2 linked regions of the Astyanax mexicanus genome follow. The protein of the gene in region 1 purifies or fractionates together with the protein of each later gene. This does not show direct contact. Links are inferred from orthologs where the notes say so. Each region holds a gene or a part of one and is shown on either strand. Other genes may lie near its edges.

Evidence for each region. The genes of interacting proteins can lie anywhere in the genome.
Region 2: the proteins of tmem9b (region 1) and clcn3 purify together in Homo sapiens (co-immunoprecipitation; 3 studies listed by BioGRID and IntAct, counting the BioPlex papers as one, with this or other methods). This does not show direct contact. The link is inferred for Astyanax mexicanus from reciprocal best matches to the Homo sapiens genes TMEM9B and CLCN3.

Annotation. Positions count from the first base shown.
Region 1 is NC_064423.1:41,763,271-41,771,313, forward strand, and holds the start of tmem9b (transmembrane protein 9B), read right to left. Parts: upstream 3,068-8,043; 5' UTR 2,877-3,067; coding exon 2,799-2,876; intron 858-2,798; coding exon 766-857; intron 161-765; coding exon 52-160; intron 1-51. UniProt on the Homo sapiens protein: Enhances production of pro-inflammatory cytokines induced by TNF, IL1B, and TLR ligands. Has a role in TNF activation of both the NF-kappaB and MAPK pathways.
Region 2 is NC_064415.1:14,066,086-14,073,282, reverse strand, and holds the start of clcn3 (H(+)/Cl(-) exchange transporter 3), read right to left. Parts: upstream 3,033-7,197; 5' UTR 2,944-3,032; exon of another isoform or gene 2,855-2,943; intron 1-2,854. Other genes in the region: nit1 (deaminated glutathione amidase), read right to left, coding at 5,096-5,356, 6,188-6,313, 6,414-6,550.

The DNA.
Region 1 (8,043 bases):
ACTTCTGAACTTCTTGCTGTATAATCTTAGTTTTTAGAAGCAGAAACTCACTTTAATGGTTCCAGAACTTCTCTCCTCGTATTTGCATTCACAGCGCAAACAGTACGCCTCCACATCCTTCCCCTCCACCGGCATCGGCTCCACAACATGCAGGCAGTTACTGAGGACAAGAATATAAATGTTAAATATAAACCAATCAACAATTACGTTAACGATTTAAAAACTCGAATTTATGTAGGAATGAACGATGGAAAGGATGGAATCATAACAGTAACAACAGAGAATTTAATCCTAAGAAAATATAATATTAGGTATTACAGAAAAAAAAATAGTTGAGAAAAATGTATTTACTGCATTTGTTATTGTATTTAAGAATTAGAAGGGAATTTTTTGTTTACCTAACTAAGCTTAGCTTTACAGATCCGCCACCCAGTGGCAAGACCTGCTGAATTAGTAGGAAAAAATGGTGACACCCCTGTTCCTTACTAGTGTCGCACAATGCACTTTATAGTGCAAAAAAAAAAAAAACGGTACTCTCAACCGGAAACCTCCGTCCATCAATCCCTATCTGGGCTGTTTATAAACATTAATAATAATTCTGAGTTCAGCGGAAATGACAAAGGTTGTGCCGGGTATAGTGTACAATAAATCAATAAAGTAATTATCGTGTCAGGCTCACTGCACTGTGCAGCTCTCTGAACAGCCCAGAGCTAAATTTAATCCCCTGTGGAAAAGCAGATTCTCAGATTGTGTTTAATGGATTACCAATCCTTCAGTGAAACGTTCTGATTGTAGATCTGTCCTTCGATCTCTTTGTAAGGTGGGCAGATACACTTGCATCGTATGTCTTCAGAGTTCTGAAACAGAGTAAAAAAACAACATAGAAACATAAAAAAACAAGATTAACAAGGGAAATATCTAAACCCTGTGTATCAATCACAAGACGCCACAGGTAAGGGCAGGGCAAAAAACTGTTCACTGTTAAAAATCACCATTATTGCATATTATTAAGGTCATGTCAATTTATTGTACAATTAGTTGATAATGTAAATATCGTGGCAGAGCCTAGCCCCCTTGTTTTGTTTTTAACCTGAGTTCTGCACTACTGGCGGATAAAGAAACATAACCACACTTTATCAGCTAACCAACCCAACCAGCTACATATCCAAATAACTGCAGACATCCTTTTAATTAATACATTAAATCACAGTACTGCCAAAAGAATAGGACTCAGGTACCAGGTACCTTTGTGCACAATGCCTAATCTTAATCTAAATTCCCTTAAAAACCCTGATATACTTTTTGAGTTTCTGAACAACCTTGAAAAAAAAGATTAAGGAGATTATTAAGTAAAAAAAGTGTCAATATGGCAGTAAGTGTAACTAGCTGATGTTAGTGTTATTATCTACCTAAAACTAGAGCTACGGCCAAAATTAGGGCTAAAACTAGGGATACAGATAAAATTAGGGCTAAAGCTAGGGATACAGATAGGGCTAAACCTAGGGCTAACGCTAAAACTAGGGATACAGATAAAATAAGCGATAAATCTAAAGCTAGGCATATAGATAGGGCTAAAGCTAAAACTAAGGATAAAGCTAGGGCTAACGCCAAAACTAGGATTGAAGCTAAAACTAGGGATACAGCTGGGGTTAAAGCCAAAACTAGCGATACAGCTAGGGCTAAATCTAAAATTATGGATTCAGCTAGGGCTAAATCTAGGAATAAAGCTAAATCTGAGGAATACAGCTAGGACTAAAATTAGGGTAAAAAACTGGGGATACAGCTAAAATTAGGGATAACTCTAAAACTAGGCATACAGCTAGGGATAAAGCTAAAACTAGGGATACAGCTAATACTAGGGATAAAGCTAAAACTAGGAATAAAGCTAAAACTATGGATAGGGCTAAAGCTATGTCTTCAGCTAGGTCTAAAACTAGGACTGAATCCAAAACCAGCAATACAGCTAGGGTTAAAACTAGGGCTAAAGCTAAAACTAGGGCTAAACCTATGACTAACTATGTTAAAAGCCCTCAGTTCTAGCCTACACTGCTAACTGCAGCTAGCTAAAGCTGATAATAAAACATGTCATATATGTTTTTGTTTTTTTACTATAACAATTTTAGTGAAAAATAAAAGAATAAGGCGATTTTTATTTAAGATAATTGTCGAAATGACATTTAGTGTAACGTTAACTAGCTGACGTTAGCGTTATAAACCTCATTTTTCAAGTTTTTCTGGAAAACTTGAAAAATGAGTAAGGAGAATAATTTAGGAAGCTAAAGCTAACTATGTTTAAAGCCCACAGTTAACTAGGTTATATACTGCATTACTAACTAAAGAGTTAGCTAAAGCTAAAGCTAACCAGGTAAACTATAGAGTTATTATTTAGCTAAGGCTAATGCTAAAGCTAGCTGGTCACTCAGTTTACAGTCCGCTGTTATATAAGTTAGTTAAGTTACTACACTGATTAACTACAGAGCTAGCTAAAGCTAAAGCTAACCAGGTTTAAAGTCCACTGATAACTACAGAGTTAGTGTTATTATCTAGCTAAAGCTAGCTGGCTAACTGGGTTTACAGTCCGCTGTCATATAGCTATAACGTTAGTTACTACACTGATAACTACAGAGTTAGCATTAGCGCGCTAGCTAGTGAAGCTAAGTACAGTAGCTAGCCTAGTGATGTTTATATGTAAACGGTATCCTGGTGTAGACGCTGATACAGAATGGTATATTTAATAACTGATAGTGTATATTAATGTTTATTAATATTAATATTAATAATTAAATGTGATTATTTACCTTACTCTCGGCGAGCTGCGCTGAGAGCACCAGAACACAGCCCAGCGCCAGCAGCCGCACTCCGCCCGCAGCCTGCATCTCTCTACCGCACAGCTCTCCGCTCACACCCCGCTCACACACACCGATCAGAACCGGAGCCGATCAGAACCGGAGCCGCGGGTTCTGGACGGTTCTAAAGGCTAAAGATCAGATTAATAACCGAGTGTAATCAGTACTGCACTACCAACACATCAGCTGATCATCAGCACCCTGTGCAGCACCAATAACACTCCCCCCTCAAACAACAGGAACCAAAAAACAGGAACTATACAGCTCTGAAAAAAATAATAAAGCACTTAAAAATGATTTTACCAAATTAAAAACCTCTGGAATATAATCAAGAGGAAGATGGATGATCACAAACCACCAAACTGAACTGCTTAAAGTTATTCAAAAGCAGTGTGTAAGACTGGTGGCGGAGATCATGATGCCAAGATGCATGAATGAAAACTGTGATTAAAAACCACCAGGATTATTCCACCAAATATTGATTATTTCTGAACTCTTAAAACTTTATGAATATGAACTTGTTTTCTTTGCATTATTTGAGGTCTGAAAGTTCTGCATCTTTTTTGTTATTTCAGACATTTCTCATTTTCTGTAAATAAATGCTCTAAATGACAATAAATTTATTTGGAATTTGGGAGAAATGTTGTCTGTAGTTTATAGAATAAAACAACAATGTTCATTTTTATCAAACATAAACCTGTAAATAGCAAAAGCAGAGAAACTGATTCAGAAACTGAAGTGCTCTCTTTTTTATTTTTATACTAGTGCATCTTAAAAAAATAGAATATCACATACCTGTCAAGTTTTAGATTTAAAAATAAGGGATATTTTCCTCTGTCCACTTAAAGCCGTCCCACCATCCCCAACGAAGGTTCAGTATCCCTTACATTTTAAGACAGGTTTAAAAAAAATCTAAAATAACCACATGTGAAACACTTACACACTACAATTAGATTATCAGAATCTGAAATGTTGTGGACAATCCTACATATGTCATTCTTTTAATGCAGCCAAATTAAAAATCCTTATCTAGATATTTTAAAAAAAGTTAAGATTTCATGTCTTGGCTTTTTTGGCATAATGCACTCTTTTATATGATATATATATTTTTTTATTTAATGGATTTAAAATTGAACAAAGGGTGCACAAATTCTACAAAATGACTGTAGGTGACCTAAAAAATAGTATCATGAGCTTTTACTAAAAGGACAAGGACCAGATATATTCCATCAGTAAAAATTAGTCCTAATGGGCCTACACAATTAATAATCTTTAATTAATACTTCTTTCTTTTGATCACTCCACCCCTGATCAGTTCAGTTCATTTCGGTCCTCTACAAATTTCTAGTTAAACTGAGTCACAAACTTTATTTTTATAATTTTAAAAGGTTTAATCTGTGTGTTTTATTTCGGAGATGAGTATTTTTAAGCAGCTATCAGAAAAATCTCATCATAGTTTCCATTAGCCTACAGTTACATTTCTTTTAGAAAAATCGCTGTATATACAGATAGGTTTTATCATCAGCTGCTCCGACGAGCTGCCTGAACTCACCGCGACGGGGGGCTTCCCCACACTGACCCTCCTTTGCAAGCTGATTGGCTGTTTCTCCTGAAAGGCGGGACTTTCTCCTTGAACCGGCTCCACGATTGGTTAAGAGACACAGAGCGGTCAGTGCCCTGTCTCCTCAATAATATATATATATATATATATATATATATATATATATATATATATATATATATATATATATATTATTTTAATATAATACGGGAAATTTACGGGAAAATAATAATACGGGAGGACGGCGTGAAAGAGGAGTAAAATACGGTAGCTTCCCGGCCAAAACGGGAGACTTGACAGGTATGGAATATCATTGAAAAGTTATTTTAATAGTTCAAAATGTGGAGCTCACATTATATAGATGTATTACACACAGAGTGATCTATTTTAAGCCTTTATTTATTTTATTATTGATGATTATGAAGCTTACAGCCAATAAAACCCAAAAATCAGTGTCTCAGAAAATTAGAATATTATATAAGACCAATTGGTACTTTCTGCAGTATGGGCAGTGTGCCAAGTCCTGCTGGAAAATAAAATCCACATCTCCATAAAAGAAGAAATTACTTTAGACTAGATCTAGTGTGAAGTTTCCACCAATCAGTGATGGTTTGGAGATGAGGATTTCATTTTCCAGCAGGACTTGGCACACTGCCCACACTGCCAAAAGTACCAATTGGTCTTTTATAATATTCTAATTTTCTGAGACACTGACTTTTGGGTTTTATTGTCTGTAAGCTTCATAATAATCAATAATAAAATAAATAAACATTTAAAATAGATCACTTTGTGTGTAATACATCTACATAATATATGAGTTTAATAAAGCTTGATACAGTTTTACGTAAGGACGGGGCCACAATGACATTTTGGCCCAAGCTGAAACCTGATTGGCCCCCTGAAGTGTCCCTGTCCTGTCACTAATTTTTTTTATCTACGTACAGTAAAACGCATGTACAATGGATAAACAGATTTTTATAGAATTAATTTTGTACAAAAATTTACCCACATTTTCCGTTAAACTTCCGTTCACACCTTCAACAGAGGAGGAGCTGCGTCTGTGGTTGAGGAGCTACATTTTAAAGACCCACCCACCACACGAGAACGTAATGCAGTCTCGATCTGACCCAGCTATCAAATATACTCCTTTAATTTGAGCTAAACAGCTGTTCAGGTACAGTTTAACCTGATTTATTACACAGATTATTACTACAGTTACTTCATTCTACTCTCCCACCCATCGGTTTTTAAATAGATTTGAAACAATACCAGGTTTATTTGTTTTTTTATTTACATGTTAGATGTACAGACATAAAAATATAGACTTTAATTTAAACTCTGTAACATAAATGAGTAGCGTTAAGTAGCCCAAGCTCAGATTCCTGTAGTCAAAACATACCGTTAAATTCCCAGAAACTGATCAGTGATCAGTTGATCAATTTTGTTGACCTAATTTTTAGTAGCAGTAAAAGAGCTAATGCTAACTTTAAGCCCCTGCATCACACAGACAGCAGAGCTTTAGCTAGGAGGTTCTTCCATTAATTGTTCAATATGGAGTGTAAACCTGTTTGTCTCTGTTTTAGTCTTAAACCACGCCCACTACCTCTATCAGGTTGCCAGGTATGGAACACACTAGCGTAGGTAAACTTTGGTGTACTGTAGCCTCAGCATCTTCTTAAAAATCTTTCTTCTACATGAGCAGAGATAGTTTAAAACACCAGTAGATGGAGATCGCTTGGATCCCAGAAGGACTACAAGACGGATGCTGAGCTGCTCATTTTCTCCTCAATTGTCTTTTTTTAAGATAACGGTGCAGCTAGCTAACAGTTTAAAAAGCTAAAAGTTATATAAACTCCATATCTGCTGGTTTATAATGCTGCAAGAATAATGCATACATCGCAACCTTATACAAACATATACATTAGCTGATCGAATTATTATCAGAGTACAGTGTTGAAAGCCCTTTAAAGCGTTCTTGAACTTGCTTTTTCTTCCCTGTAGGTTCTGTTCAAGCAGAAAGCTTTGAAATTGGACTCCGTTATCTATTTTACATGCTTGCTGTAATAAAGTACATTTTGTTCCTTTAAAGGAGAACTCCTGTGTAAAATAGTGTAAATGGATTTTGTTGTAGTAAAACATGGTAAAAAGTTCTTATCTTTGATGAATAGCACACCTCCGTTCTCCCACAGCGTTCAGAGATCCAGAAATTTTAACAGCTTATCCAAAAACACCCTTCAGACTGGGAGATACGGGGCATAATTTACCCTGATAAATCACTTTTTACACCGTTATCCAGCTCAAAGTAGCTCCACACCTCCTTACTAGAATCTGGAGAGCCCTGATATTTAAAACGAGGCATTAATAACTTAAAAAGTGCAGAAGAAGAAGCTTATTAAAAACCACTGTTTACATCCCATAATGCTACTAGCTTCAGCTCTGAGCGCCGCAATCACTGTACTGATAATGACAGACATATATATACATAGATTCTATAGATGCAATGCAGAGTCTATGTATATATATGTCTATGTCATTATCAGTACAGTGATGGCGGCGGCAGCTAGTAGTGTTACGGGATGTAAACAGTGGATTTTAATAAGCTTCTTTTTGTGCACTTTCTAAGTTATTAATGCCTCGTTTTAAATATCAGGGCTCTCCAGATTCTAGTAAGGAGGTGTGGAGCTACTTTGAGCTGGATAACGGTGTAAAAAGTGATTTATCAGGGTAAATTATGCCCCGTATCTCCCAGTCTGAAGGGTGTTTGTTGGATAAACTGTTAAAATTTCTGGATCTCTGAACGCTGTGGGAGAGCGGAGGTGTGCTATTCATCAAAGATAAGAACTTTTTATCATGTTTTACTACAACAAAAGTACATTTTACACCAGAGTTCTCCTTTAAGACCAGACTAGAACAGCATTTCTATCAGAGATTCAACACAAGCATTGCAAACATTGCAACCGTTAAAGTTACTTAACAACCAGTGCTGCACTGAAATTGCTGAGCTGGAAAAGGAAGTGTGCATTCTTGTGAAGTGTTAACAGTGTGTTGCAGCATCGGCTTCCTTCTAAAAAGCTCCATGAACAGAGACGAGGTAAAATACCAATAGATGGAGACAGTTTGGAACCCAGAAGGACTACAAGACGGATGCTGATCTGCTTATTTTCTCCTCAGTGGGCTTTTTTTTAGGATAACAGGCTATTAAATATTTTTTTTTGCTTTAAGCCTAGACCAGCATTTCTATCCGAAACTTAGCACTAGCATTGCTAAATTTCCTTCGGGATCAATAAAGTATCTATCTATCTATCTATCAATCAATGCACCCATTAAAGTTACTGAACAACCAGCACTGCACTGAATCTGCTGAGCTGAAAAAGGAAGTGTGCATTCTTTATCGAGTTAATCACTGCAGACTAACGAAGCGTACAGAACCCCTGACCCCACCTTCAGAGTTTAACTGAATCTAATACCTTTACACACAATATATACAACACATTCATATCATCATAAACGCATAAACGGCCACTGCGGCCACAGAAGTGAAGTAGCTGGAGATTAAAAATAGATATGTACTATATATATATATAGATTTATTTCATATGCAATTGTATCATATCCATATATAACCTAAAGCTCTCA
Region 2 (7,197 bases), on another chromosome or scaffold:
TAATTACTGAACACATCATGAACCAGATGTTTAGCTACTGTAAGGCCTGTTTCACACTTTACATCTCTCTGTGGCTTATGAGTGACGAAAAACATCATGAGGAAGGATATACGTTTCCATGCATCCCAAAATCCATATTTTAATCCATAATTTTAAGGAAGTAAGGTATTTTTTAGTAAAGTAAAGAAAAAAGCCTGCTAAATAAAAGTCTGATAAACTAGGCCAAGTATATGTAGTTATAACACTGATTCACTTATTATGAGAACAGTGAAGAAAAAAGTTTTATATTTTACATACACCACCATTTTACCATTAACAACTCTAGATATAGGGTCAAGAGATTGAAATTGAACACTGGGACAGACCACATCTCCATTCCTCTTCTTGCTTACTGACGTACTTTATAAATAAAAGCTCCTTTCTACACTTTACAAAGTTTGCAATGACAGAAGGAAAGACCTAACCTCCCTAAAGGGCCCCATCTAATCTTCTCTGTCCATTGCGTGTGGTCTTAATGAAAATAAAACAGTAGAAACCAATAAAATTGATTTAAGCAAATACAACTATTTTCTTGAAAGCCATTTACTGTATTTACTTTTGTTTGTTTGTTTGTTTGTTTGCAGTTCATATGTAATCAGTAAATATCCTGCAATTTAGATTGCACTATGGTAGACGTTTCTGGTTATATTACTTAATTTTTTTTTGATACACTATTATTGTTTTATACAAAATCTTGGTTTAAGATTTGTATGTATTTTGAAACTTTAAAGAATTGGTCTTAATAACTTTAAATAGTGTTATAAACTAGATAACTAGCTAGTGAACTAGTCCACTCAGCCCTAAGAGAGCACTGTAAGGGGCAGGGTGGTTTGGTGGTTAGCACATTTGCCTCCCAGCACTAGGAGCTTGGATTCAAGTCCCTATCTGAGTGGAGTTTCCATGTTCTCCTTGTGTCTGTGTGAGTTTCCTCCCACAGTCCAATAAATTGTCCACTGTGTGTAAGTATGTATGACTGTATGCCCAGATATGGATTGGCACTCTCTGCTGGGTCAACTCCTCAGTGCTCAATGCAAAAAGGTGCTATATAAACGTAATTATGAGCGAATAAGTTCTGTATTTTATGTAACGTGTGAAATAATTTGTTTTAAATGTGTTGCTCCATAATAAAGTGAAGACAAGGCTTCTATCTAGCAATTATCTATGTAAAAACGTAAAAACACAGACACAAGGTTTGGTAAAACAAACAAGGTGTGATAAAACAAACAAGGTGTGATAAAACAAACAAGGTGTGCACCTTATCAATTTGTAACAACCCTTGCATTTAAGTATATTTTGTAAGTATACCTAACATGAAAAAATACATACTTTTAACACTAAAATGAATACGTACTTATGGCAACTTAAGTATATTTCAATTGTAATTCAGCTATATTTAAATACAACGTAGAAGCATTAGGCTGTGCTTTTAAGTGATTTTAATTCGTATAACTTCTGCGAACTTAAGCATAATTTTAATACACTTGAAGTATGTTCTAAATGTACTTCTTTGCGTATTGATGCACATATTGTGTACACTTTAAAGCTACTGAAAAAAACTAAAGTGCACTTTTTTTAAAGTATTTAACGCCAAAACATATTTATATATTCGGTCACCACACTGTATAATTTGAAGCCTATTGTATAAAAATACATTTTATGAAAAATACAGAAAAAGTATATTCAATGTGTATTTTTATATTAAATTGGTATATTAAATTTAAAACATACGTTTAGTACTTTTTACCTAATTTAAACATACATTTAATGCTTTTTAAGAAGGGGTGTGTCATGTTGTATTGTAAAAAATAATATCATAAACATTTTTGAATATCGTGAACGATATTATAAACTGAAATATCGTGCCATATCACCCACCCCTAATTATCACATCAGGGTACTACTTCTTTGCTGTTTTCAGCACAAAAAAAATTCACACTGTTCTTATTTCACGTTATATATATACTAGAGACATATTATATCTGTCCAGTATCATTTATTTTACTTTAATCCAGGATATATGCAGTGCATTATTAGTATCATGACATTCTGGATCATTGTCTTCTGTTAGAAATCTGATAAAATACTTATATTTTTTAATATCTCAGTTAGGGGTGTGTAATATCATGTGATATGCAATAATAAAATGTAATTTTCATTCTGTTTCAGTAGCGTATTATTAAAATACTTTTTTTTATTTCAGTGTTTTGTCATATCGCTAAAAGTATCGCTATAGCAAAAATTCCATAAATTATCGTGATATTATTTTTAAGGCCATATCGTCTACCTACTACTAAGTTTAGATTCAAGAATTAATATATTTCACGAGGGAACACCTGTATAAAGACAAACCGCGTAACTCCAGTGCTTAACTACTACATGAAAACGATACGACATAGTTAACAGTTACCGTTTCATATTAAACAGACAGAAACAGAAATAACGCTATAATACGGGTTTTAACCGGCTATATTTCACACCTGTGTGAACGAGGAGGCCTGACTGAACACAGAGCGGACGAAAGTCACATTTAGCTACAAACGAGTATTAGATAAACAACAACACTTAACCTAACCTAGCTACAACTAGCTTCATAAACAACAGCACAAACAAACACTCAGCCAGCGGTGTTCAGGAGCTCCTGGACCCGGTCATTAATCAGACTCAGGTGTTTTAGATGTGAAGGTTAGTGTAAAATCGAGGTTATCTTCATTAAAAAAAGCCCTCAGAGAGTTCAGGAGCAGCTGAGGAGAAGCTAACAGCTAACAGCTGCTAAACACACTAACCAACCCCAGCCGAGCCCACAGCGCCGCCTTACCTGAATAACACAGCCTCGAAACCGACCCTGAGGTAACACACCATGCTTTCTCCACTTTAAAATTATAATCACACTAATAACACACGAACCCTCTCAGGATTTAGTAGAAGCCATGTTCGGCTGCTGATGCTGCTGCTGAGATGATCTTAGCCCATTCCTGTGTCAGTGACGTTTGCTTCCGGTGTGCCCCAGTCTCTCTCACTATCTCCCTCCCTCATTCCCTCTCTGTTTCATCTCTTTTTCTGTCTCTCTCCCGTCTCTCACTCTCTCCCTCATTCCCTCTTTGTTTCATCTCTTTTTCTGTTTCTCTCCCATCTCTCCCTCATTCCCTCTATATTTCATCTCTTTTTCTGTCTCTCCCATCTCTCTCACTCATCCCCTCTCTTTCACCACTTTTTCTGTCTCTCTCCCATCTCTCTCACTCTCTCCCTCATCCCCTCTATCTTTCATCTCTTTTTCTGTCTCTCTCCCATCTCACACTCTCTCCCTCATCCCCTCTATCTTTCATCTCTTTTTCTCTCTCCCACCTCTCACACTCTCCCTTATCCCCTCTCTGTTTCACCACTTTTTCTGTCTCTCTCCCATCTCTCTCACTCTCTCCCTCATCCCCTCTGTTTCTTCTCTTTTTCTCTCTCTCCCTCATCCCCTCTATCTTTCATCTCTTTTTTTTGTCTCTCTCCCACCTCTCTCACTCTCTCCCACATCCTTTTTCATCTATTTTTCTCTCTCACATTCCCTCTCCCATCTCTTTTTCTGTCACCCTTCCATTTCTATTAATCTTCCATCACTTTCTTCATTTTTCCTTCCATTTCTGTCCCACTCTCCCATCTCTCTCTCTCTTCTACATTCCACATCCTCTCTTTCATCCTTTTCTGTCTCTCCCATCTTTTACTCTCTTCCACATCCCCTCTCTTCCATCTTTTTTCAGTGTCTCTTTCCCATCTCTCTCACCCTCCCATCTCTTTCTCTCACTTTCCCTCACTTTCTGTCCCACTCTCCCATCTCTCTTAATGCCTTCTATATCCATTACCTTTTAGTGTCTCTCTTCCAACTTTTTGTGCTCTCTCCCACATCCTCTCTATTTCTCTCCCTCATCCCCTCTCTTTGTTTGTGTCTCTCAGTTTTAGTCTCACTCTTACTTTACTCCTCTTTTTTTGTCTTACTTTCTCCTACATCCCCTCTTTTGTCTCTCTTTCTTATACCTCTTATACCTCTCTTTCTTATACAGGCTCTTTCCCAGAGCCTTTCTATCTCAATCTCACCTTCCAGTCTCCCATACTCTCATACATCAGTCCCTCTTTCCTGTCTCACTCTTCTGACTCTCTAAGTTTCATCTGCATCCTTTGTTTCTCTCACTCGCTCCTTCTATTTCTGTCTCCTTTTGCCTCACCCCCTTCTCTTCCATGTCCCATGTCTTTTACATCTCATCTTACTCTTCCCACCTCCTATTTTGTGTCTCACATCTCTACCTCCCTCCCCCTCCTCTCCTTCTTTCTCTTTCTAAAATGGGAACTGAATGTGTGAAGCTCAGATCTAAGAATGCTGGGGTGTTGGTGAGCTGAACATGCAGTATTGATTATGAGGGAGGAAGTCATAACATCTGTTCATTAGTATTTCCATTTTACTGAATAATATTTTATTGAAAAGCATCAACCCCCACAGGACTATAACTACCGTTCAGATGTAAAACCAAATCCCATCTCATTCATAGTTGGGTGTGTATGACATAATTTATCTCCAAATTCCTGAAAAAAAAAAAACATTCACAAATTCAACCGCAGTGAAAAGAGTATATTCTGCTTTTGTTGGAGTAACTGTCTCAGCTTTCCATTCACATTTCATTCACAAGTCCCCAACCTATCCCAAAAGTATTGGATGGGGCATCATCGTTCCACAGAACACAGCTGCACTGCTCCACAGTTGAGGGCTTTATATTTCACTAGCCCATGTCTGGCATTAGATGTGATGCCAAAAGGTTCAAGTTTATCTGCTCAAGTGAGTTATATTCTCTAGAAATACTTCTATAAAAAAAAAACTACACAAGCTGGGTGTGCATTTGCACATCTGTGCAGCAATAGGTTTAACTTCAATTAGCTGAATGCATTGATTAGAAGGGGTGTTCACAAACATCTGGACATACAGTGTATGATGCATAACTGGTCCACAAAAAATTACATGGTATTCCCAACTCCATCTTTAACCATATTCAACATCCTTTGTAGATACGCTGTCCATCTCAGTTTAATCCAGACCACAGTAGTACTCGCTCTGCCTCTTGTGCTGTTGGACCGGCATGTCCCTTCTAGTGTCCTGTAGTCTCTGCAGGTTAATCTCCACCAAAGCCACGCCACCCTCTGTCCCCCCACAGTCCCCCATGACCACACCCCATGGATCCACTGCTAGCGCATGGCCATATGATGAACGTTTTGCATGGTGAGCTCCAACTTGTGCTGCAGCCAAAACAAAACACTGTGTTTCAATGGCTCTGGCTCGCAAAAGCACCTGGAAACAAGAGAGAATAATGTGAGGCTGTTTCTCTATCTAAACACATTTCACTGAATCTCTTGCAATAGTTTGGGCAATCATGCTCAAATCACTTATTCTGTTGATTTTCTAGTAACAATATATGAATAAAACTTGTTAAAAAATAAAAGCCAAAAATAAAATAGTCTGCATATTTTAGAGCATCAATTTAGTTCACCTCTGTGCAGTTTCCCAGACAGGGATTAAGCCTAGTATTGGACTACACATGATTGTGAATAGAGATTTTCAGTTGAAAGAAAAATCTAGTCTACAATTAGGCTTAATCATTGTTTGGGAAAATGCCCCTGTATGTCTGATCGCCAGGGCTAAACACCTTCAAGACCCTCAAGATTACGATTGGATTACTCAAACCATGTTTGGAGGTCATGTAAGACTGATATTCATCTGTCAAAAAGCGTTAATAAGTAATTAATACCGTTAATATTGCATATTTAAGATTGTAAAAAAAATGAGATGAGTAAAATTGTATCTCCTCTGGTCAAACTGATTTTTTTAACCTCTTGGAAGCACAGTATTCAGGTTTGGAACAGCAATTCCATTTGTGTATCAGAATTAAATAGCTTTTATTGAACACATTACTCATTTTTACCAAATGCTACAAGGAGTATGTCTATAAAAACAATGGTGGATTAAATAAATGACAAAACATGAATAAACGCACAGTTTATGTAATTTTTGTATTCCACCCTACGCTGTCTGTTGTTTGAAGACCTGATTAAGAAAACAAATAAAAACAGCTCAAGGAACCAATAAAGCTTCTGTAACACTCGTTTTAACTTTGTGTCTCACCTCCCAGTGAGCGGCTCCAGTTGCCACAGTAAACGCTGATGGATAAGTCAGGATCTCCGCCCCTTGCCTCTGAAGAGCCAGCGACAACTCAGGGAAACGCAGATCATAACAGATACCCAGTCCCACCTATAGAACCATTTAACAGGTACTAATACTAATGCTGGTTAATACACAACACAAACACTTTAAACACTTAAACCTTCATACAGAGACTCGACTGCCGTACCTTTCCAACGGGTGTTTCAACAGGAGGCACTAAACTCGGCCCAGGAATAGTGAAAGCACTCTCTTTTAGAGACACACCTCTATTCGCCAACTCCACATCAAACAGGTGACCTTTCCTGTACACCGACACAATCCCACCTGTAGATAAAGCACAAGAAAGGCAATGAACTGCAAATCTGGCCAAAGGTTTTTTTGTTTGTTATGTTAGATATGGCAAAGAGATGTAGATGTGTGTAGATGCATGGCTCTCTGTACCAGACCAGGCCTTATTCTTGGGCAGTACTGATAAAAACAGTATATTGCAGGAAAGGATAATGCTAGAGGATGATAGGTAATTGTTCATTAAAATGGTTTATTAATTTAATAATGCTAATAGCATGTTGTGACTGGACTGTTCTATTCAGCTCTACATTTCTTAATTAAAAAATGAAAGCTTACACAGTATTATAAACATTAACCCGCACTACCTCCGCCCTGCATGTTTTAGAAGGGTTGCCACAATAGATTACCCTGGCCATCAATAATCTACCATGGATTATAACTATAAGATTAATCAATAACTATGTAATTTATTTTTCCTTTTTTACTACCTTCTTTTTTACCTTATTATTTTATTATTAATAAAAAAAAATAATAATTTATTAACAATTATTAATTATTACATCTTGAAATGTAATTACTTTTTTTTGAGGCATTTTTTGTTACACATATTTTTGGACCAGACCAAAGAAATACAATTTGGTGGTCTGTCCACAAAAGGTGGTCTTGGACCAGATCAACTGAAC